Linked DNA regions of Arabidopsis thaliana. The protein of the gene in region 3 purifies or fractionates together with the protein of the main gene of each other region. This does not show direct contact. Each region holds a gene or a part of one and is shown on either strand. Other genes may lie near its edges.

Region 1 (5,867 bases), on a different chromosome or scaffold from region 3:
CAATTGATTCACTTGCCTCAAGCACTTGGGAGAAGGTGACTAAAACCTTACTCACTGTATATAATGAAAACACAAAAGGTCTCATATTTAGTACTCACACCTTTGAGATATAAAAGATCCTTACTGTTACCTTGTTATTATCAGGTTGCACCAGAAAAGACGTTGATCACACCTGTGCAGTGTAAATCACTGTGGAGGCAATTTAAGAACGAGACAGAATATACCGTTACACAGGCCATTTCTGCACAGGTAATCTTTGCAATCCACACTTTCAAGCATATCTTCCGTTTGCTCATTCACATGAGCTGATGTTAAAATTTGGCAATGCTACAAAACGTTTTTGAATATCTTTTTTTGGTCATGTCGTTTCTAGCTTCTTGTCTCCTTTCTCATCTGTTCTTTAATCAGCTAACACCCGGAAAAATAATTGAGGTTTCAATCTGAATAAAGTCTCCTTGGATTTCAGGAAGCTAACCGACGGAATAACAACTGGCTGCCACCTCCATGGGCAATCCTTGCCCTGGTTGTTCTTGGATTTAATGAATTTATGACTCTCTTAAGGTACCCTCCTTGTCCATTCTTTTGAATTGACTCGGCGGCTTTTTCATACAATCAAGATTCCGTACTCACTTTGGCTCTTCGTGCCTGCATCTCTCATGGCAGAAATCCTCTATGGCTCTTAGTTCTATTTGTCGGATACCTTGTATCCAAAGCCTTGTGGGTGCAATTAAATATTTCAGGAGAATTCCAAAACGGCGTGGTATGAGCACGATATCCAACATCCATATTTTTACTTTTGCCCCTGTTCTTCATTTGATCTCAATTATAATCTCACCGAAATGCCAATGTTTCATCTATGATCAACAACAGCTACCTGGACTTCTCTCTTTGTCAACCAAATTCATTCCAACGGTCATGAACCTCCTCAAAAAGCTTGCGGAAGAAGGACAAGCACCACCCACAAATAGCAACCAATCAATGAACTCTACAGCTCAATCCGAGGTTACAACCAATGGAGAAAGCAGCAGCAGCAGTAGCTCTGGTTCATCTCCAGCAAAAAACGTACCCATTGATACAAGTGCATAGAACAAAGAAGTATACAAGCTTAAGCTGTTGTGCTAGCCCACGAAGCTAGAAACTTAAAATTCGTTACCCTTTCAAAAAGGTAGCTCTCAGTTTTGGTGTTGATCAGAGAGATTCACCGAGAGCCATATGTTTTATGTCTCCGATGGCATTGGTTCCCTCTTGCAGGTGTCAAAGTGATCTTGTATGTTCCTAGACTAAGATTCTGATGCAGACAAAAACAAAAAAACTCATGATTTGTTTGCGAGTTCTGTAGTGATGTGGTTATTGTATCTGATAAAAAGAATGTTACTTGAAGAAAAACCGGTTTTTGATTAAGTGAAATTCAGTTTGGTTTTTGTTGATTGAAGAGAATTTCAGGTTCTCATTGCAAGTTTATAGTGTAATCATGTTAGCATAGAGTTTTTGGGCCATTGGAAAATTCATAATGGGCCTAAGATAACGGATGAAACTGTAAACCTAATTATGGGAGATGCAGAAACAGAGCACAAAGAAAGTTCCAGACTATTAGCTTTTCTAAAAGAAAAAAGTTTCACTCTTTGGAGGTTGGAACTTAATTCCTTGATTAAGAAACCCCAGAAAAACCCTAAACCCTTGAAGCGTCTCCTTCTCTAGTTCTTTGCAAGCGGAAATGTATCGAGTGCTATCAAAGTTATCTTCTTCAATTGGGTACGTTTCGTTCTTTCATTCAACGAACTTATTCAAAACTTGTATTTTTCTCGATCAATATTTTTTGATGAGCAGAGCTTAATTTTCTTCTTCCTCTTTCTGGGTTTGATTGTCTTGCAGCTCGTCTACTTCCAGGAAACTGGTGAGTTTCGTGAACTCTCTCTGTCTTTTTGCGAGTTTGATTGCATTTCGTTTATGGGCATTCTTGTTGGTAACAGAGAAATTGCTAGAAATGTGTCAAATTACTAGTCCTGATAGTTTATGCAATGAAAAAAATAGGGTTTACATCAAAATCTCCACCTTAAGCTACTTAATTTGCAAAATTGCTCTGCTTTTATTGGTTTCAGATGCAATAGAAGATCTTCTAGTTCCGGAATGATTAGCTTGAATTGGCCGTACCCTGTATCAAACTAATTAATTCCGATTTTGATTTTCTTTTGGTGTTCTCTCTTACCATGAAGGTTTCTGGGCGGATTATAAGTAGCAGAAACTATGCGGCCAAGGATATCAGTTTCGGGATCGGAGCTCGGGCAGCTATGTTGCAGGGTGTATCCGAGGTTGCAGAAGCTGTGAAAGTCACTATGGGACCAAAGGTATATATATTTCGTTCTCACAAGGTTTAGATCAATGTAGAGTGGATTGTTTTTGAAACAGTCTTCAAATTCAATATCTTTTTTTTTTAATTCTGTGGTGTAGGGAAGAAATGTGATAATTGAGAGCAGTTATGGCGGACCAAAGATCACAAAGGATGGTGTCACCGTGGCAAAAAGCATATCATTTCAAGCTAAAGCTAAGAACATTGGTGCCGAACTCGTCAAACAGGTTGCAAGTGCCACTAACAAGGTTGCTGGAGATGGTAATATTTTCTCTTTTGAGTTCATAATCATGGATAAGTTTTTATTGAAAACATACGGTGAAGAGATAATAGTAAAGTCTTAATTTCTGCTTGCCTTCCTTTCGTTATATAGGTACCACTTGTGCCACTGTTTTGACTCAGGCGATACTCATCGAAGGCTGCAAGTCGGTGGCTGCAGGTGTAAATGTGATGGATTTGCGTGTTGGAATTAATATGGCAATTGCTGCAGTTGTCTCTGATTTGAAAAGCAGAGCTGTTATGATTAGCACCCCAGAAGAGATCACACAGGTGAATTTAGAAACATATTCATAAGTCAGGAATTGTGAATGCTATACCAAAGGTTGATCTATTACTGCTACTGCATATGTTCCTTTGATAGGTTGCCACTATATCTGCAAATGGGGAGCGTGAAATAGGGGAACTAATTGCAAGAGCCATGGAGAAAGTTGGAAAGGAAGGGGTTATCACTGTTGCTGTAAGCTTACTTTTCTTTTCATGCCTTATAATAGATCACTTGATGGTTGTCTGATCGCTGTGTTATTCTTCAAATACCCAGGATGGTAACACTTTAGATAACGAGCTGGAAGTAGTGGAAGGAATGAAGCTAGCCAGAGGTTACATTTCTCCTTATTTTATCACGGATGAGAAGACCCAGAAATGCGTGAGTGAAATCTATCGTGTTTAGTATTGTGTGAAAAGGAAAGAAAGGGTATTGAACTACCTGTGCTTGTTTTTCAGGAGCTTGAAAATCCCATCATCCTCATTCATGAGAAGAAGATTTCAGACATTAACTCTTTGTTGAAAGTTTTAGAAGCGGCTGTGAAAGTAAAGCATTCCCTTGATTATCTAGAATACTATGTTCTGAAGTCCGGTTTGGCGGTTTCTATAGTTGGCTACAAGAAAACTACTCACTTCTTTCTCTTATTGTTTGCGGTTGTGCAGAGTAGTAGACCACTTCTTATTGTAGCAGAAGATGTTGAGAGTGATGCATTAGCTATGCTTATTCTCAATAAGCATCATGGTGGGCTTAAGGTATGTGCTATCAAGGCTCCGGGGTTTGGTGACAACAGGAAAGCAAGCTTGGATGATCTTGCAGTTCTTACTGGTGCAGAGGTAGAAATTTCTCAGAAACAACATAATAGTTATGTTTGTGTCACGTTTTCATTTTCTAACTCACTTGTTTATGCACAGGTTATCTCTGAGGAGCGTGGGCTATCTCTAGAAAAAATTCGCCCTGAATTGCTTGGAACTGCGAAGAAGGTAACAGGAGAAATCATAACTGGTTTCTGTTTTTGCTTTTGTGTGATTCAAATCTAACACAAATTCTTTAAACTAGGTTACCGTTACCCGTGATGACACTATTATCCTACATGGTGGTGGTGATAAAAAGCTAATTGAAGAAAGATGTGAAGAGGTATATGATTATTTTCTTACAATATCTCTGACATGAATCTTGCTCACTAGAATATTCTTTATACAGTAGAAGCAATCCTTTTTACTCTCATGCTCTACAGTTAAGATCAGCCAATGAAAAGAGTACATCCACTTTTGATCAAGAGAAAACGCAAGAAAGACTCTCAAAGCTATCAGGTGGTGTTGCAGTCTTCAAGGTTAGTCAATCACCCATCAATCGGTCTTTCTAAACTCTTGCATACGAAAAGTAGCTGATATGTGCCTTGTTCCTATATAGGTGGGAGGGGCAAGTGAATCTGAAGTTGGAGAGAGAAAAGACAGAGTCACTGATGCTTTAAACGCCACAAGAGCAGCTGTAGAAGAAGGCATCATACCGGGTAATAGAAATTATTCGCATCTTCTCTCTATTTACTCTGATATAGCTCACATGATGTGCCTTTAACGGAGGAAATTTCAAATAGGTGGTGGTGTGGCTCTATTATATGCGACAAAGGCTTTAGACAACCTTCAAACTGAAAACGAGGATCAAAGAAGAGGTGTTCAGATTGTTCAGAATGCTCTCAAGGTTAATAATCTCTAACTTCCTCTTGATGAAAGATTTCCGTCCATGTCCCAAACTGTAAAACCTGACATGATGTTGTGAATCTTGTGTAGGCTCCTGCATTTACAATAGCTGCAAATGCCGGTTACGATGGTTCTTTAGTGGTTGGCAAGTTATTAGAGCAAGACGATTGCAATTTTGGTTTCGATGCAGCCAAAGGTTAGAAACTTAGTGTCTTTGAGAACATTATCAATCGCAAATCTCATCGATCTCTGAAAGTGTCTGCCGTTTTTGTTTCGTGTTGCCATAGGTAAATATGTGGATATGGTGAAAGCTGGAATCATAGACCCAGTCAAGGTGATCAGAACCGCCTTAACCGATGCTGCTAGGTAAAGAGTGTCCTAACAAACTCAAAACCTTTGGTTGCTTCTGTGGAATAATAAACTAACTCCTTATCATGTGTGTGTGTGTACAAAATGCAGCGTTTCTTTGCTTTTGACAACAACAGAGGCCTCAGTGCTTGTGAAGGCAGACGAGAACACTCCAAACCATGTCCCTGATATGGCCAGCATGGGCATGTGATCTTGTGACCTCTACAAAAAAAGAAACATTCAAATTTTTATTTTTCTCTACTAAAGTTAGAAACTTTTCTCGATTTAAATTTGGTTGTCTGGTTCTATATATATTGTTACAGTGAATTTTTAATGAATTTTGTTGAATTCAAAAATTATATCCTGTGGTCGTATATTACGAACTTTGCTTAAGTGATGTTAATTATGAATCTTATACCCTTGATTCTAATTCAAAATTATTACCCAAAAAATGGCATCATTATTAAGAACCTTCCATCTCCATCAGAGGTGTAACGGAATGAATTAGATCTAAGCAAAGTTATTGGTTTATCTCATCGGAACTGCAAAACTCAACTAACTGAAAAGTACAAAACCACTGAATCATATTATTTGAGATTTTTTTTAGGTCAAATTTTAGGTTTCAGTTACAGAAAACGAAGAGAAAACCCCAGAAATTGAACGCCGAAGAACAGAGGAAGAAGAAATCGATCTGGAAAATTTTGCAAAAAAAATTTGGACCATTTCTCGATTTATGCGTGTCATCCTTGCGCAGGGGCCATGCTAATCTTCTCTGTATCGTTCCAATTTTATCGGATGTCCCCTAAGGGACAATCACTACTTCGACTCTAGCTGTATATAAACTCAGCTTCGTTTTCTTATCTAAGCGATGTGGGACTTTTGAAGATTGTTTTCAACTTAAATGGGCCTATATAAGAAATACTATTGTTCTTTC
Region 2 (6,188 bases), on a different chromosome or scaffold from region 3:
TACATATTGAGAAGAGTGTTGCCCATAACAATGTCATGACGAAAGATAGATTGAAGGATATGAGCATGAACGATCCTTCCCTGAATGAGCAACTTAAAGACTGTACATTTCTTCAGCAGCGTGTTGTAGAAACGTCTATCGGCGGGAATATAACTGCCCTCGAGATCATTGCTACTCGTTCGGAGAAGAAGATCATTGGATGGGAATTTTAAAGATTCGTCTTCGGAATCTTCAGATACCGGTGCCGGGAGAGAATTCAGACGCCGAGATAGCTTCAGCTGAGAGAGGAGACGAGGCGGGAAACGCAATGCCATGGTCGACACTCGACAACATCAAAGATGCTAACCGGAGATGAATTATAACTGAAAATAGTTTGGTTATCTTCGGTTTGTGTCAATGTATATAACCGGAATATATTTCAGTTCGATTTCATGGTAATTTGGATTTTGTGGTTTTCGTTTTTTTGGTGCATTTCAGTTAGTGGTTGCTTAATTTTGCTAAATCTTGGTTTAACTACGATGAAACTTGGGTATATATATAAATACTGTAATTTGAAGGGTCGGTTTATTGTTGGAGTACCAGACCTGAACCAGAAGCAATGACAAACACAAATGATGCCTTAGGAAAATTTGTTGATGCTAATAGTGTGTCTCGTAACATTGCCAAGTGTGCTCTGTTTATTGTAAAACTTTTGAGGTTATTGAGCAACAATAAGGCAAAGACGAAGACTAAAACTCCTAAAAGAATCGTATCTCTCTTCTCAAGTTAAGATGGTGATTGGTGAAAACAAAAGACAGAATTTAGTGGATCTAGTAGTCCATGCCTCCCATTCCACCCATGCCTGCTCCTGCTGCTCCTGACTCGCTTTCGTCTTTCGGAAGATCAACCACTACAGCTTCCGTTGTCGTCAACAAAGATGACACACTGCCAACAACGCAAGTATACAGTTTTAGCTTAAGACTCATATATCGAAATGAAGAAGAACATTGTTAGTTAGGGTGTTCGCTTTTTATTTACCTCGCAGCATCAACCAAAGCTGTCCTGATCACTTTCAGAGGGTCTATGATTCCAGCTTTCACCATATCCACATATTCACCTAGTTTGTTCTCCACAGTTAGCTAAATGCAATCTTCAGAGAGAACAAAAGTGAAGTGATGATGGATTGTGAAACTCACCTTTAGCAGCATCATAACCGAGGTCTGGGTTATCTTGCTCCAAGAGCTTGCCAACAATAACAGCACCTTCAACTCCAGCATTTGAAGCGATTGTGTAAACAGGAGTCTGGTAAACCAAAACTCGTTAAAACAATTTCTTGTCATCAATTATCAGATCAGAGGATTTTAGTTCTAAAGAATAGAAAACCTTCAATGCGTTCTGAATAATCTGGACACCAATCTTCTGGTCAAAGTTGGCTGTTGGAAGTTTTTCCAACTCTCTTGCTGCGTATAGAAGAGCCACACCTCCTCCTGCAAGTGTTTTGATTTGTTTCTTTAGCACATAGCAAACTTTTTAGCACTATATCAAAGAGTCTTCCTCACTGGAAGAGACATACCTGGTAAAATACCCTCTTCAACTGCTGCTTTAGTGGCATTCAAAGCATCTGTCACTCTGTCTTTCTTCTCACCAACTTCAGCTTCACTTGCTCCTCCAATCTAAACACAATTAGCTCCAGAAGTTATAACAAGACACTTACAACCAGGCTGCTATGATTCTAAGACTCCCAAAACATTATAACATGGACTAACCTTCAACACTGCAACACCTCCAGAGAGCTTAGCCAACCTTTCTTGCAGTTTTTCCTTGTCATAATCTGAGGTGCTCAGTTCAATTGCTGACCTAATCTGTTAGTTGCAATACCAAGCAATTAGAACGAACTACTTTCATACACTTCATAATTTCTTGCATACAAATTTTATTACTAACCAATTTATCAGGGTATAAGGTTAAAAATTACCTGTTCACATCTTTCCTCAATTCCTTTCTTGTCGCCAGCCCCATCAAGAATAACAGTGTCGTCCTTGGAGACTGTAACCTATACAAATAGCCAGACAAGTCTCAACTACACTTACAATCCAACAAGGATATGCTGAGAATGTAATAGCCAAATCTAGTTCATACTAAGAGCCACCATGTCTATATCAGTTAAGGTTTCAAAGGCTACCTTTTTGCAGGTTCCTAGCATGCTTAGGTCCACCTTCTCCAGATTCATGCCAAGCTCGTCTGTGATAACCTGTATCAAGCTAAGTCAATAATATTCCATTGTTGACAAGACTAACACATTACACAACAAATGTACTACCTCTCCACCAGTAAGGGCAGCAAGGTCTTGCAAATTGGCCTTCCTATTCTCTCCAAACCCAGGGGCCTTGATGGCACAGACCTGCAGGGAGGAAACTATTAATCTAAAAGCAAAGAAGTCATAGCTAAAAGTCAGGAGACGGTAGTAAGAGCTTCTGTTGTTCAAACCTTAATTCCGGCACGGAGCTTGTTAAGGATAAGAGTTGCAAGAGCATCACTTTCCACATCTTCAGAAACAATCAATAGTGGTCTTTGCCTCTGTAAGATTTTATTTGGACAACAGAAACCACATCAGATGCCTTTCACACAGCATTTACATGAGAAAATGATTACAGATTTACTATAAAGATAAAGTAGACATACCTTCAGAGCCAACTCCAACACTTTCACTATAGAGTTGATGCTTGAGATCTTCTTCTCGTGGATAAGAATGAGAGGATCGTCTAGTTCCTACATAGATTAATTCCAATTCAGTAACTTCTATAATTGATATGACACATCAAGAAACTTAATTGAGCAGGGAGTAAAAAACTTACACATTTTTGGGTTTTTTGATTAGTGATAAAGTATGGTGAAGTATAACCTCTGTCCAATTTCATCCCCTCTACAACTTCCAACTCGTTAAACAATGTCTTTCCATCCTGCAATGCATTATACCCACGTCAGAATTATGTTTTGACCAATATATAAGTAGCAACATGAGCAATCATTCGGCGATTTACTTACTTGGATTGTGATAACACCTTCTTTGCCAACCTTCTCCATAGCCTTGGCAATAAGTTCACCAATTTCCCTCTCTCCATTAGCAGAAATGGTTCCAACCTGAGCAATCTCTTCAGATGTGCTGATCATCCTAGCCTTGCTTTTAAGGTTTGTCACCACAGCATCAACTGCCATGGAAATACCTCTTCGCAAGTCCATTGCATTCATTCCTGCGGCAACTGATTTGCATCCTTCGGCAAATATAGCCCGGGTGAGGACAGTAGCACAAGTAGTACCTGCATGACAAGTTAAACAAGCATTGGTACATAGTTTTGCAAAGTTTCTACAACTATGAACCGCATAATCAATCAAAATGAAATATCTTACCATCACCAGCAACATCATTAGTAGCATTTGCAACCTGCTTCACAAGACTAGCACCAACGTTCTTAATTTTGTCTTTGAACTCAATACTTTTGGCAACAGTAACACCATCTTTTGTCACTTTAGGAGCACCCCAACTTTGCTCAATCACAACATTACGTCCCTTCAAAATTAGAATCACATAAAGCAGAAAGTCTTAGACCAAATTCGATACAGAATCAACCGGTCACCCAAATCACATGCTAAGGAAGGAACCTCTGGCCAAATCATGTCCAAATCAAATCAAAATGTGTAGAAGAAAAAGAGTACCTTGGGACCCATGGTGACTTTAACAGCATCAGCAAGATCTTCAACACCCTTAAGCATCAAAGCTCGAGCTTCAACACCAAACTTAATCTCTTTCGCTGCATAGTTCCTGCTCCAGCTCATTCTGCTGGAAACCTGGCGAGCGTTTTGAGCAATCCTGAAGAACAGAGAACAATAAAGACACCATTTTTATTATCAGAACTGGCAATTCAGAATCGGGATTAAGCTAGTAGATTTCGAGAGCCCAGATGAATTTGAAGAGAGTAGATCAAAACCCAAATCGATTTAATTCCTCATTAGCTTCCAATGAGAGTGAATAAAAAACACGAAGAAAGTGAGTTCATTACCTTGCCTTGGAGGCGAGGTTAGAAGCGAAACGATACATGGTGAGTGAGAAGGAAGAGGATTAACGATGAAGAGATGATTCTGATGAGCGAGTTAGATTAGATCAATGGAGAACAGGCGGAGAGAGAGAGAGAGAGAGAAGAAGAGTTGAGAGGGCTTAATAAGCGAAGGAGAAGAGTCTAGAAGCAGCTGCTAGTTACTATATGAGCCTTTTAGGGTTTTAGGCCTCTTTAGGGTTTAACTTTCATTTCAAACTTAAAAATCGTTAATCTCATTTGACGAAAAAAAAAAAAAAAAAAGTCGTTAATCTCATTTTCCAATTTAATTTCTGTAATATTTTTTGCCCCAAAGAAACAGATTTCATTTTTTCATCTTTTGATAACCAGCATTTGTGATTTTGCCATAATATACATGTCAAATTTTATATAGCGTTTAACCAAAAAATAAAATAAAATTATATCGCTTGATCTAAATATCCTTGAATCTAATCAAACTGAACCACACCAAACCAAAGAAAACCAACGGTAATTAAATGGTTCCGGTTGGATTAGGTTTTTGGTTTAGGTTTGCTTCAGCTCTACAAAACAAATCGGTGTTTCGAGTTTTTTAAATTGAATTTGTTCTCTAAAATCAGTGGCAATTTGTGTAATATTTTACCTCAGTAAAAGTTTCTTAAATACGCAAAGATAAAAACTGATAATATGAAATAGAACTCCAAAAGAAATCCAAAATCCAAACAATGCAAACAAAAAAGTGAACCAAACCCCATAATAAACACCTAGATGATACCAAAAGGTTGACCTTGCTTCACTTTTTTTCTTCATTACTTTGCTCTTTTAGTTGTCCTAAAGTAGAGGAATTTGAAGCTTCTATTGATATTAAAATTTGTCAATTTCTCTCTTTAAAAACATGAGTAATTTGGTGGGCTGTCGTCATGTTCCACGGGCCACATGGATGCTCCTATTTATTTTCTTTACCTGTCATATGTGTCCATCACGACTCATTTCTCTCCATTTTTTTTTCTCTTAATTTTCTTACTACCTAAACATTCTCTCTTATTTTTCAAAAAATACAACAGACTATGAACAAATACATTACACACTTCTTATACATTTTTAAAATCAAAAGCTACATGAAATCTAAATTTCACCAAACAAACAATGAGTGAACGTTAAAAAAAAATTGCAACCAAACAAAGAAAAAAAAAAACGAGTAAAAACGTTTAATTCAAAGCAGAGAAGGGGAAAATAAAAAGAAAGGGATCTGTTAAAAAGAGATCTGACGAACAAAATTAATATTTGAACTTCGTCCTCCTCTCCTTCAGATCGAAAACCCTAATTTCGATTTCTTTGTTTGACAATTCCATCGATTTTTGAACTTGTTTTCTCGAGATCTCCATCTGTTTCCTCCACCCCGAAATTTCAACGATATCTTCTCGATCTGTGCGTCAGGATCTGGGCTTTTTGAAATTTGAGTTTTCTCCTCAATCATAACAACGGCGATTTCCGGGAATGGCTTTGGCTAAAACGGATTCAATGGTAATTGAAAAAGCATTGATTTGAAGCAATTGGAGAGGGAACATTTCCCTCTGCGAGATTTCGAGTATTTTTCAATGGCATCAGCTACTAGTTCCCGGAGGCAAGAGGACGTTGAAGCTGGACGCCGTAAGGTAGATCATCATCATCATAATCATCATCTTTTGTTTGATTCTCTCGTTACTTTGAATTTGCCCCTAAAATTTGTCGGTGCTGAGTCAATTGATCATTTTTTTTAGGTGGGTTGTTTATATTGGAATTGAGATTGATGTCCTAACGCATGCAATCAGAATTGAGATTTATTCGACAAAAAGCTTGTTTTTTTTAAAGATGAATGCGTAAAATTGTGTGTTTCTTATCGTTTAATTTCTGGATTTTCAGCTTGAGCAGTTTCGTAAACGAAAAGCAGCAGAAAAAGCTAAAAAGGCATCACAGAATACACAACCTGTTGATAATAGCCAACAAAGTGTCATAGATTCAGATGGAGCTGGTGCATCTATCTCTAATGGACCTCTCAAGCAATCTGCTGAATCTACCTCAAATGAAACCCATACCAAAGATGTATATAATTTATCATTTTCGAATACAGCAATGGATGATGGAAGCAAAGAAAGAAGT
Region 3 (6,551 bases):
AGAGATTGTTGGACAGTGTGGTAAATTCCGCTTATTGGAGAGATTACTTGTTCGGTTATTTGCCAATAATCACAAAGTATGTTTCACAAACCCATGGCTCGTAGCTCATTTCCCTTTGAGAACTTCTCTGATCCATTTGCTGATGACCAGGTCCTTATCTTCTCCCAATGGACGAAACTTTTGGACATTATGGATTACTACTTCAGTGAGAAGGGGTTTGAGGTTTGCAGAATCGATGGCAGTGTGAAGCTGGATGAAAGGAGAAGACAGGTTTCACCTGTGCTTATGCTGCTTTTGCGTTGCTTTTAAGCAATATTCTGACCAAATATTATAACCATAAGGTCTCTCTCTCTCTCTCTTTGCCTTGAAACAGATTAAAGATTTCAGTGATGAGAAGAGCAGCTGTAGTATATTTCTCCTGAGTACCAGAGCTGGAGGACTCGGAATCAATCTTACTGCTGCTGATACATGCATCCTCTATGACAGCGACTGGGTAATCAAATCAATTAATTTATTTTCTTTGAAGGAAAATCTTTCTCTTTCGTGTTGTCTCCAACTGTGTTTTGTCTGATCTCCAGAACCCTCAAATGGACTTGCAAGCCATGGACAGATGCCACAGAATCGGGCAGACGAAACCTGTTCATGTTTATAGGCTTTCCACGGCTCAGTCGATAGAGGTAAAACTCTTTGTTGTTCATATCAATCAATCTTAACTTCAAACCATTGAGATTGTTGCCTCATGAGATTGGTTTATGACATTTGCTCAGACCCGGGTTCTGAAACGAGCGTACAGTAAGCTCAAGCTGGAACATGTGGTTATTGGCCAAGGGCAGTTTCATCAAGAACGTGCCAAGTCTTCAACACCTTTAGAGGTTTTAACTTCTCTTAAAGCTCAATCCTTTTTAGATACACTTATTATCAACAAAATCTCCTATTGACAGCTTGAACCAAACTAACACACAGGAAGAGGACATACTGGCGTTGCTTAAGGAAGATGAAACTGCTGAAGATAAGTTGATACAAACCGATATAAGCGATGCGGATCTTGACAGGTTACTTGACCGGAGTGACCTGACAATTACTGCACCGGGAGAGACACAAGCTGCTGAAGCTTTTCCAGTGAAGGGTCCAGGTTGGGAAGTGGTCCTGCCTAGTTCGGGAGGAATGCTGTCTTCCCTGAACAGTTAGGACACATTAATAAGCCAGGCCTTGAAACCACTTCTGTGTTTTTTTTTTTTTTTTCCGGAACATGATCGGTTACTTTTGGCTGGGAGGATTTAATTATTAGAGGGCTCGGAAGTTTTTGTAAGTTAAAGAACTCACTTAAAACCCTGAAAACATGACAGTTAATGGTGATTAGCTCTCAATGTGATGAAAACAATTGGCCCTCTGATTTTGCTGTTGCGGTAATATTATGACTTGTGTACGTTTATAGTCTTTGTAGTCTGCAATTTTGGCATTGAGCTATTTCTCACGAACTTATGGGATCTTATGTTTTGGATTTGGGATTTGTTAACTTATATGATTAGGCTCAATAGTTTCACAGAATATTAAAAACTTGAGTAGGGTTTAAAAAAGAAGCAAAAAGCTCCGATGCCGGGAATCGAACCCGGGTCTCCTGGGTGAAAGCCAGATATCCTAACCGCTGGACGACATCGGATTTGTTGATGTCTATTCTTGTAAATAGTAAATATTTAGTTTTATCGGTTTTGCATCTAATGGACTAAAACATGAACACGAGACGCCGACAAGAATGAATGGGGCAGGCACCAAACATTTGGGTAAAAGTATGCAGTGGGGTATTATTGACAATTTGACCATTACAAGAGCTAATCTTAGGGGGTTTTAGTTAGTAAAGCAAACCCGGTTTAGGAGTAAATATGGAGTGAGAATAGGGGTAATTAAGGGAATTTAAGAGAAGTCATCATCGTTTTCCATTTTTCTTATTTTAAGCGCCTCGGTGGCTATCTCTCACTCCGTTCGCGTCTTCCTCTTAAAGGAAACCTCCTCTACGCGAAATTCGTATTCTCTCATTTCTTCTACGGAGATTTGCATCGAAGAAACTGACTCGCTTGTGGAATCAACAACAAGACGATGTGGCGCTGCGTCTCTCGTGGCTTTCGAGCTCCTGCTTCAAAGACCTCTTCACTCTTTGATGGCGTCTCTGGATCTCGCTTTTCCAGATTCTTCTCCACTGGTTCTGTATGATCTCTCTTCCTTCTCCTTCCGTTTTGTTTATTTTCTAATTCGATCTTATGTAATTCACGAATCATAGTTTTATCCGCCATTCAAATGCGTTAGTAGTCGAGCAAATTGTTGAAAATCGGGGAAAATTTTGATCGATTTGTTTTGTGGTGTTTATTTTGGTTATCTGTTGAGTAGACCGATACGAGATCCTCTTATACGATAGTGGATCACACTTATGATGCGGTTGTGGTGGGAGCTGGTGGTGCTGGTCTTAGGGCGGCGATTGGGTTATCGGAGCATGGCTTTAACACCGCTTGCATTACTAAGCTTTTCCCCACAAGGTCACATACTGTTGCTGCTCAGGTATTTTTCGTTACTAATCTCCTTATACTGTCGATTTTTAAATATAGTTTTGTTTCTTTTTGATTGAGATTATGTTGTCGAAAAAACTGTCAAGGGTGGTATTAATGCTGCACTGGGAAATATGTCCGAAGATGACTGGAGATGGCACATGTATGACACTGTCAAAGGAAGTGACTGGCTAGGTAATCTTAGTCTTCCTTTTGTTTCTTCTCTTTTTTTAGTGAAATGTTTTTTTTTGCTTTTTGTAGCTCTTATGTGATGTGGTTTAGTGAATTGATTAGTGAGTTCTTTCTTGTTTATTTCTTTGTGTAGGTGATCAAGATGCTATCCAGTACATGTGTAGAGAGGCACCAAAAGCAGTCATTGAACTTGAGAATTATGGGCTGCCTTTCTCTCGTACTGAAGAAGGGAAAATTTACCAGCGTGCATTTGGTGGTCAGAGTCTTGACTTTGGAAAAGGTGAGTTGTCTGATGTCTTGCTATTATTGATATTCCTATTTACTTTGTTTTTTAATAGGTCTCTCATATTGGCTTTCCTATTTTTCTGCTTCAGGTGGTCAGGCCTATCGTTGTGCTTGTGCTGCGGATAGGACTGGTCATGCTCTGTTGCATACTCTCTATGGACAAGCTATGAAGCATAACACACAGTTCTTTGTTGAATACTTCGCCTTGGATCTGCTCATGGCTAGTGATGGTAAGTTAATCAAAGTTATTCTCCTTTTACTGTCGCTTCTATTAGTATTTGCCAATTTGGTGGAGGGGTGATGTCAGTAGAATTCAGAACTAGTAGTTGATTTTATGAGGTGGTTGGATGGATCTTATTGATCGATTTAAGGGAAAGCGACTTTGAAGTTAATGCAACATTTCTATCTGATATGCAGGCAGTTGCCAGGGTGTAATTGCACTAAACATGGAAGATGGAACATTGCATCGTTTCCGTTCTTCTCAAACAATTTTGGCAACTGGGGTGAGCTAGTTTCTATATGATACGATTTTTTGCAATAACGAAAATATGCTCACCTGGTGGCTAATGTTTTTCCAGGGGTACGGCAGAGCATACTTCTCTGCAACCTCAGCACATACATGCACAGGGGATGGAAATGCAATGGTTGCACGGGCCGGTCTTCCACTGCAGGTTTTCCACCTGTTTCGTTTTTATTCAAAATTGTGTATGATGTATTTGTCTGTAATTTGTATGCTAATAATCTTATATTTAATAAATTTATGCAGGACTTGGAGTTTGTTCAATTCCATCCAACTGGTATATATGGGGCCGGATGTCTCATCACCGAAGGTTAGTATCATGTTCTCACATACTCGAATTTGTTTGCAATATAAAATTTAATGTGTTTTTCACAAAAAAAATTTGGTGTTTAAACAATTGCAGGATCTCGAGGTGAAGGTGGTATCCTTAGAAACAGTGAAGGTGAACGTTTTATGGAACGATATGCTCCTACAGCCAAGGATCTTGCATCAAGAGATGTTGTCTCCAGATCCATGACTATGGAAATCAGGGAAGGTCGTGGTGTAGGTATGTTCCACTGAAAACTACTTCTTATTTTCAGAGTGAACTCTCATTACATGATATGCTTTGATATTGTGATCAGTCTAGTTTGATTCTCACCCTGGACAACTTTTTGCTGATATCTTCCAGGACCGCATAAGGATCATATCTATCTCCATCTGAATCATCTTCCTCCAGAAGTTCTAAAAGAAAGGCTTCCTGGAATCTCTGAGACCGCTGCCATCTTTGCTGGTGTTGATGTTACCAAAGAGCCAATTCCTGTCTTACCCACGGTTCATTATAACATGGGTGGTATCCCAACAAACTACCATGGCGAGGTAAGAATAAGAAAAGTCATTTAAGAAACTTTGCTGAAATTTGTGTGGAGTTAAGCATGAGATGGATTAGAAGCCTAGCTCTGAAAGTTATTCTGTTAAATCCTGCAGGTAGTTACCATCAAAGGCGATGATCCAGATGCAGTGATTCCTGGGCTAATGGCTGCTGGGGAGGCAGCTTGTGCATCTGTTCATGGTGCCAACAGGCTTGGTGCAAATTCACTGCTCGACATTGTCGTATTTGGTCGTGCTTGTGCAAATAGGGTTGCAGAGATAAGCAAACCAGGTTAGTCTTTTTTGAGGACTGCTGTTATTATAAAAGATAAGTCTCTTCTGATCATTTTTTTTTCTTTATTCGATTGGTGCAGGGGAGAAACAGAAACCTCTTGAGAAGGATGCGGGTGAGAAGACTATTGCATGGCTGGACAGGTTGAGAAACTCAAACGGGTCTCTACCTACTTCAACTATCAGATTGAACATGCAGAGGATTATGCAGAACAACGCAGCTGTGTTCCGCACGCAAGAAACATTGGAAGAAGGTAAACAGTGATCTGAACTTGTTCTGCATTTATTTAATTCTCTCACCTGCAACTGCAATCCATTTTCTTTACAATTTATTACCGTGAAACAATCACAGGTTGTCAGTTGATTGACAAGGCCTGGGAAAGTTTTGGGGACGTCCAGGTGAAAGATCGGAGTATGATATGGTAAGACAGACTCTATTCACATGGGATTGATTATCACACTGTTATAAAATCTGGTGAACTCTTGTTAATCTTGGAAACTATGAATAAAATGCAGGAACTCGGATTTGATAGAGACATTGGAACTGGAGAACCTTTTGATAAACGCATCCATAACAATGCATTCAGCAGAAGCACGAAAGGAAAGCAGAGGAGCACATGCTCGGGAAGACTTCACGGTTTGATTCCTTGCTCAGCTTTTCCACAATGATTGATTATCCCATAATGATGAAACCATAACGTAGTATAAATGAATGCGTGTGTATGCAGAAAAGAGAGGATGGAGAATGGATGAAGCATACATTGGGATATTGGGAAGATGAGAAAGTGAGATTGGATTATAGGCCTGTTCACATGGACACTCTCGACGATGAGATCGACACTTTCCCTCCCAAAGCTCGTGTCTATTGATCGAGCCCATGTTTTTATTTTATCTGTTATCGGAATAATAATAATAATCAGGAACCCCCCAAAAAAAGGGAATTAGGAGAAGAAGACGGAGTTATGAGCTGATGGAGCACAAAGGACTGTTCTGAAACTGGGTTTACGTTTTACACCAGAAACGATGAAAATAAATTGATAGAAAGAGGAAAAAACACTACAATTCTTATTTTCTTTATCAGTTCCTGAAATTGTTACATTCTTTGTTACCTGTTAATTACGCCTTGGTGATATTCATTTTTTTTTTTTAAATCAAAATGTTCGAATTCCGTATCGACCGTGAAAGTTATTTTGCGGTGATAATAGGTATCAGAACACGAGATACAATTTTGAGTTGTGACCATTAGAAAAACAAAATTTGGGTTGTTTTTTCTTGTCTGAACAAAATTTTATTTTAGGTAAATTCGGATCAGTCAAGGCATTTTTTAGGCCTACAAGTGGGGGTAATTTCAAATATTTTTGTTCAATATTTGCGTATCTGAGCGAGTTTTAGATTGGTCCGATCGTCGTCGCTAGATGATAATGTTGGCCGTAGAAAATGTGACCTTTATAATGTATCTCTCTTTAAAAGTCGTCCACTTGCTTATGGCGTATACTAAAAAAGTGCTCTTCCACATATGCAAATTGAAGATACAGTCGGTGAATGTAAATACAAAAATGATCTATGATTACGACCTTGAAGCTTAGAAACTAGCCCCACACCAATTCGACTAATTATGTAGTTCAATATTACACTAACCAACCATAAGATATTATATTTTTCCGCATGCGTGTGTGTTATTCCTAATTAGAACCAATCGATAACAAAATTAGAAAGCTCCACACAAATTAAACTAAACCAGTCGACTTCACCAACCAACCTTATCTATTAACCTGCTCATTTCACATTTAACAATTCCAAAACCCAATCAATTATAGTTAATTAAAAAATTTCGACACAAAGCTGACTTAGCAATGCCTAAAACGCAACGTATGAAA
Region 4 (5,264 bases), about 23 Mb from region 3:
TTGGATTACAAGTGTACAACATGCACCTCAAGATCAGAAGTTCAAAGTCTTAATGATGGAAACAAGACTAAATTAGTATATGCTCTGGTTTCTGGTCAGAAAAATTAATGAAAGACCATATTTATTTTAGTGACCAAAGAAAAATACTATATATGTGGTAGCACTAACTCACTGAATACCACTAAATCGTGTATAACGACATTAATATAAGCTATTAAAGACGGTTACAAATCTGCACAAAACTTGATTTGTCTTAAAACTCAGTTGATGTTATTTGCATTCGCAAATGCAAATTTCATTTAAAAAATAATGTAGCAGATTGAGATATCAGACTTCGTATTATACTACAGATGTAGTAGCTGAAGATTCAGTTACGTTATCCAACATGAAAAAAGTACAAAGAGTTGTTTGGATTTTAAAATCAGAATAACAAAATTGTTTCCTTTCATCTAATACTTAAAGGATAAAATTGAATATGTAAGAGTTTTTGCAGATATAATAACACTGTGTTACTGATCTCATACCCATAAATTACTTCAAGGGACATAACTCCAAAAATATATTTTGCTGACTGCAGAGATAAGGGTGAAATGCAAATGTGGATTTGATGGCCAATGTGCTAAATAGCACCAATGATATTAGGAAAGGATGAACAGTAATAATTTCTGCAAAAACAGAGGAATGACCATTCGGTGTCTTTTTTGTTGTGGTCCTATTTTTGCCTCATAAGCATGGATGGTTCAAGAGAGCAAAAACTTCATTGATTTGAAGATTGAACACAAAGACAAATATGAACAGAGAAAACTATTTTTATTTCATTTTACAACGAACACCAAGAGGTAGTTGCTTATCGATTACATTCATTAAAACACAAAAACACGATCACAAACAAACTCAAGCGACTTGAACTTGTATAGTCTTTGGTTTCTTTGGCTCAGGAGGAGGAAGTTTCGGAATAGTCACTTTCAACACACCGTCATTACAAGCCGCAGAGATCTTCTCCAAATCTGCATTATCAGGTAACTGAAACTTCCTCATAAACTTCCCCATCCTCCTCTCCATCCTCACAAACTTCACACCTTCATTCTCCTTGTTGTCCCTCTGTCTTTTGCCACTCACCACAAGCACGTTCTCGTTCTCTATCTGGACCTGAATCTCATCTCCTTTGATTCCAGGCATGTCCACGGCGAAAACGTACGCATCCGGGTGCTCGATAACGTCAGCTGGTGTAGCAGCCATTGCCTTTGCGTCTCGCATGTAAGCTCTTGAAGGGTTGTTACGAGTCTTCTCGGTTTGTTCTTCAGGGGCTTCAAGCATGTCTTCGAGGATTGAAAATATTGGAAACCTTCCAAACTCCAAATCCATTCTTAGCTGTTGTGTTAACTTTCTTGCTTCTTGGCTTTTTCTTTGGTTTGATTGATTTTGATTTTGATGTAAGAAAGTATTAAATAGAAGTTGAGTTGGATAGTTCTAGAGCAATGTAGAGAGAGCGATTGTTTCGGTGTTATAGAACTTAAAAGCGCTTCTCTAACGTTCGAGAAACGTCTTGATCGTTGGAGAAGTGTAGATGGATATTTCTAGACGAATGTAGAGAAAAGCGATTGATTCGGTCAGGCCCAAGACCAATTCGTTTTCAGGCCCATATGTATTCTGTTTTGGATTTAGTAAGGATGTTAAATTTATCCGGTTTGGTACGATTTCATTCGAATTTAGTGTATAAAATTGATTGAACCGCGTCAATACGGTTGAAACGCAAACGCAGAGGATTCATGAGTCATGGCTTTTGTGAGGTGAAGTATCAATATCATCTACCTACCTATATGATCATCGGACTAAAGTGAAATGAAGTCAGCAATTTCATCGTCACTCTTCTTCAATTCGAAGAATCTTTTAAACCCTAATCCTCTTTCTCGCTTCATTTCTCTCAAATCTAACTTCCTCCCTAAATTATCTCCGAGATCGATCACTAGTCACACCTTGAAGCTCCCATCTTCGTCAACCTCAGCTTTAAGATCCATTTCCTCTTCCATGGCTTCTTCTTTCAACCCTGAACAAGCTAGAGTTCCCTCTGCTCTTCCTCTCCCAGCTCCTCCGTTGACCAAAGTTAGCTCCTTTCTTTTCATTTACCTTTGGGTTTTCAATCATTTCAGCTTTTGATTGATTTCTTCGTTCCATGGGTAATTTTGTAGTTCAACATCGGATTGTGTCAGCTATCTGTTACATCTGACAAAAAGAGAAACATCTCTCATGCTAAAAAAGCCATTGAAGAAGCTGCTTCTAAAGGAGCTAAGCTTGTTCTCTTACCCGTGAGTTTTTCTTCTTTGTATCTTAGCTCATAGCTCTTTGTGAGTTCAATTCTAATGTTCTGTTGCTCAAATGTGTAAAATTTACAAAAAGTATGAGCTAGTGGTATCGTCTCTATGGGGTTTAAAACCATTCAATGGGTTTGTTTCAGGAAATTTGGAACAGTCCGTATTCCAATGATAGTTTTCCAGTTTATGCGGAGGAGATTGATGCAGGTGGTGATGCTTCTCCTTCAACGGCAATGCTTTCTGAAGTTTCCAAACGTCTCAAGATTACAATCATTGGTGGATCTATACCAGAAAGAGTTGGAGATCGTTTGTATAACACTTGCTGTGTCTTTGGTTCCGATGGAGAGCTAAAAGCTAAGCATCGGAAGGTTAGATTTTTTGAGATTAAACTTTCATAGAAGAAATAATGAACTTTCCTCTGCTTTAGGCCATAGAATGAAAGATGCTAATCTTACTTCTAAAATCGTTGTTCATCTTTTATCATCTGTTTTTAGGATCTAATAGACTTAGAATCAGTAATTAGAATGATGTGGTAGTTATGTTCTGGTTCGAGTTCTTCCTCTATGATTCATAAGGACAAATTATGAGGCGAGATGGCCTTGACCGTTTTATGCTTATATTATCAATTCTCAGAACATCTTGTTTTTGATTGCTTGCACTTATTTGTGTTTGTACTTGTGTGTGCATACAGATACATTTATTTGATATAGACATTCCCGGGAAGATTACTTTTATGGAATCCAAAACTCTTACTGCTGGAGAGACACCAACAATCGTTGACACAGGTTATAATCTTGGTTTGCCAAATATAATTCCAGGTCATGCATAAACAATCATGTATCTTACATAAACTCATTGTGGTACTATCTAAAAATAATAATTTAGGATTAAGGATTTAAATTTCCAGTCAGATTTGGGATCTTCTTAGCTCAACAGTGAAATGATTCATTTTCATGCTGGCCTAGTGTTTATGAATAATAATGTTTTTAAGATCTTGCCAACTATTTTGACTGGGGAAATGTCTTTATTGAACAATCAAGTCATAGTAGGACCGTTCACATCACCTCTCACTTTCTAGTACTTATGAGAAATCTTTAACGCGGTGCAGCGCTTGAGAATGATAGTTTTGTTGGTTGTTGCAGATGTAGGGCGTATTGGAATAGGCATCTGTTATGATATCAGGTTCCAGGAGTTAGCTATGATATATGCTGCAAGAGGTGAGTCTTCATATCATAATGCTTTATCCAAATGGACTATCTGCTTCCTCTCTTTTTCGGGTCCATTACGTTTTAAAGAACCTCATCACCCACATGTTTACTTTAATCATATCAGGGGCTCATTTGCTGTGCTACCCGGGAGCCTTTAACATGACAACTGGACCATTGCATTGGGAATTACTACAAAGGGCCAGGTATGATTCACAGTCTACTACATTACGACTTTCTTGGCTTATTTAATCATGGGTAAATCACAATGCTCATCGATCTGTTTTGTTCCATTTCAGGGCTACGGATAATCAGGTACATGAACCAAGTTAAATACTTGTATTGATAGCCAAAAGAGAGATACAAGTTCTGACATTTCTTAATGAATTCATAGCAAACCTGCATTTTTCTTTGAGTTATCAATACAAGTATTATCTTCTGCTCTTTGGGGTTAGTTTTACTTAATTGACTGTTATCAAAGTCATGGACCGGTTAATAGAACTATGTATGCTACTTTCTCCAGTTATATGTGGCGACATGCTCACCTGCCAGAGATTCAGGAGCTGGCTACACTGCTTGGGGGCACTCAACACTCGTTGGGCCTGTAAGCACTAAACTTTTTCTGTGTTACTTGATTGATAATGAAGCTTTTAGCTGATCACTAAACTTTGAAACATATATATTATTTGACAGTTTGGAGAAGTACTAGCAACGACTGAGCATGAGGAGGCCATTATCATAGCAGAGATTGATTACTCTATCCTTGAACAACGAAGGTAATCACGGAAACACCAGAACTTTCTTGGTTTTTGATAGCGTGATCCGCTAACTGAATCTCGTTTTTTTTACCATCTTAGGACTAGCCTTCCATTGAATAGGCAGCGGCGGGGAGATCTTTACCAGCTTGTAGACGTACAGCGCTTAGACTCTAAATGAACGCAGCAGTAACTGTATATCTGAGAGATATTGCGAGTTGAGCACGATTTGGTTACTTACAACTTCATGCATGATCAGTCATTTCTCCACAACTTTGCTGAGATATGTAAAAGAATAAAAATCAAACTTTTGAGTTAAAATCGAACAAAGGCAAGTAAATTCTGCTTAGATAATGTGAACTCCACCCACTTGCCATGTGTTTGTTGTTTATAAACTTCAATGCATTCTGATAACAATGTAGACTTGTGATTCGCAATCAGAATAGCATTTGACTTTTTTATCAAAATATATACACTATTTTTGTGAATTTCTCAGTAAATGTCATTGTCTATGAAAAAAACAACTCATATCTTCATTCCACAACCATCATATTCAATATCGAGTACTTACTTAAACTAAAATTGTTATAACTGGTTCTTCAAATGTTCACACCTACTCAAAACGTTTCATCACATAACTCAAGTCAAGTCAAAGATAGCCATGGTATATTTTGCTACACATCAAGATTTGTAATATGCAATGTAATTTGTTTTAGATGAGAAGAAGAAAAGAGTATATAGAGTATGCAGATAGGTTCATCCACAAGCACAAGTGGGATATAAAAGATTTGAAAATGAAATAACATATAAACTTTTGTCAGCGGCCTCAACATGATTTGAAGATCCGTGGTTATTGTTGAATGATAAATGACCGGACGACAAAATGCAGTTACAACAGCAGAAGCCTTACAAGATTCACCACAGTGTGTAGTGGTTTCGTCTTTGGAGAAGACACGTGGACCAAGCCTATAGGGTAAAGAAAGACGTAGAGT

What was found.
Region 1: the proteins of SDH1-1 (region 3) and HSP60-3A purify together in Arabidopsis thaliana (affinity purification with mass spectrometry, with the first as the bait; one large-scale study listed by BioGRID). This does not show direct contact.
Region 2: the proteins of SDH1-1 (region 3) and HSP60 purify together in Arabidopsis thaliana (affinity purification with mass spectrometry, with the first as the bait; one large-scale study listed by BioGRID). This does not show direct contact.
Region 4: the proteins of SDH1-1 (region 3) and AT5G12040 purify together in Arabidopsis thaliana (affinity purification with mass spectrometry, with the first as the bait; one large-scale study listed by BioGRID). This does not show direct contact.

Annotation. Positions count from the first base shown.
Region 1 is NC_003074.8:4,560,981-4,566,847, reverse strand, and holds HSP60-3A (heat shock protein 60-3A), read left to right. Parts: upstream 1-1,512; 5' UTR 1,513-1,714; coding exon 1,715-1,752; intron 1,753-1,872; coding exon 1,873-1,894; intron 1,895-2,213; coding exon 2,214-2,345; intron 2,346-2,448; coding exon 2,449-2,608; intron 2,609-2,720; coding exon 2,721-2,896; intron 2,897-2,987; coding exon 2,988-3,083; intron 3,084-3,164; coding exon 3,165-3,269; intron 3,270-3,346; coding exon 3,347-3,433; intron 3,434-3,550; coding exon 3,551-3,721; intron 3,722-3,799; coding exon 3,800-3,868; intron 3,869-3,944; coding exon 3,945-4,022; intron 4,023-4,122; coding exon 4,123-4,218; intron 4,219-4,298; coding exon 4,299-4,398; intron 4,399-4,482; coding exon 4,483-4,586; intron 4,587-4,675; coding exon 4,676-4,781; intron 4,782-4,872; coding exon 4,873-4,951; intron 4,952-5,044; coding exon 5,045-5,144; 3' UTR 5,145-5,331; downstream 5,332-5,867. Other genes in the region: RHD3 (Root hair defective 3 GTP-binding protein (RHD3)), read left to right, coding at 1-35, 145-249, 467-561, 664-760, 871-1,086; AT3G13857 (uncharacterized protein), read right to left, coding at 5,549-5,677.
Region 2 is NC_003074.8:8,666,900-8,673,087, reverse strand, and holds HSP60 (heat shock protein 60), read right to left. Parts: upstream 4,317-6,188; 5' UTR 4,076-4,316; coding exon 4,038-4,075; intron 3,848-4,037; coding exon 3,694-3,847; intron 3,548-3,693; coding exon 3,388-3,547; intron 3,297-3,387; coding exon 3,025-3,296; intron 2,940-3,024; coding exon 2,835-2,939; intron 2,749-2,834; coding exon 2,662-2,748; intron 2,557-2,661; coding exon 2,467-2,556; intron 2,381-2,466; coding exon 2,300-2,380; intron 2,231-2,299; coding exon 2,162-2,230; intron 2,033-2,161; coding exon 1,955-2,032; intron 1,842-1,954; coding exon 1,746-1,841; intron 1,653-1,745; coding exon 1,553-1,652; intron 1,467-1,552; coding exon 1,363-1,466; intron 1,282-1,362; coding exon 1,176-1,281; intron 1,097-1,175; coding exon 1,018-1,096; intron 925-1,017; coding exon 810-924; 3' UTR 510-809; downstream 1-509. Other genes in the region: AT3G24000 (Tetratricopeptide repeat (TPR)-like superfamily protein), read right to left, coding at 1-314; BLI (BLISTER), read left to right, coding at 5,648-5,704, 5,952-6,188.
Region 3 is NC_003076.8:26,651,682-26,658,232, forward strand, and holds SDH1-1 (succinate dehydrogenase 1-1), read left to right. Parts: upstream 1-1,925; 5' UTR 1,926-2,094; coding exon 2,095-2,202; intron 2,203-2,382; coding exon 2,383-2,550; intron 2,551-2,644; coding exon 2,645-2,732; intron 2,733-2,862; coding exon 2,863-3,009; intron 3,010-3,103; coding exon 3,104-3,244; intron 3,245-3,431; coding exon 3,432-3,517; intron 3,518-3,592; coding exon 3,593-3,685; intron 3,686-3,780; coding exon 3,781-3,844; intron 3,845-3,937; coding exon 3,938-4,081; intron 4,082-4,204; coding exon 4,205-4,392; intron 4,393-4,500; coding exon 4,501-4,675; intron 4,676-4,757; coding exon 4,758-4,928; intron 4,929-5,026; coding exon 5,027-5,096; intron 5,097-5,190; coding exon 5,191-5,311; intron 5,312-5,402; coding exon 5,403-5,543; 3' UTR 5,544-6,015; downstream 6,016-6,551. Other genes in the region: CHR1 (chromatin remodeling 1), read left to right, coding at 1-76, 151-270, 374-493, 579-677, 768-872, 964-1,188. UniProt on the Arabidopsis thaliana protein: Flavoprotein (FP) subunit of succinate dehydrogenase (SDH) that is involved in complex II of the mitochondrial electron transport chain and is responsible for transferring electrons from succinate to ubiquinone (coenzyme Q).
Region 4 is NC_003076.8:3,883,320-3,888,583, forward strand, and holds AT5G12040 (Nitrilase/cyanide hydratase and apolipoprotein N-acyltransferase family protein), read left to right. Parts: upstream 1-1,629; 5' UTR 1,630-1,842; coding exon 1,843-2,103; intron 2,104-2,189; coding exon 2,190-2,306; intron 2,307-2,455; coding exon 2,456-2,680; intron 2,681-3,003; coding exon 3,004-3,097; intron 3,098-3,454; coding exon 3,455-3,529; intron 3,530-3,644; coding exon 3,645-3,723; intron 3,724-3,816; coding exon 3,817-3,832; coding exon of another isoform or gene 3,833-3,850; exon of another isoform or gene 3,851-4,040; coding exon 4,041-4,121; intron 4,122-4,210; coding exon 4,211-4,293; intron 4,294-4,374; coding exon 4,375-4,453; 3' UTR 4,454-4,758; downstream 4,759-5,264. Other genes in the region: HSP17.6A (heat shock protein 17.6A), read right to left, coding at 895-1,365. UniProt on the Arabidopsis thaliana protein: Omega-amidase involved in the metabolism of asparagine. Probably also closely coupled with glutamine transamination in the methionine salvage cycle.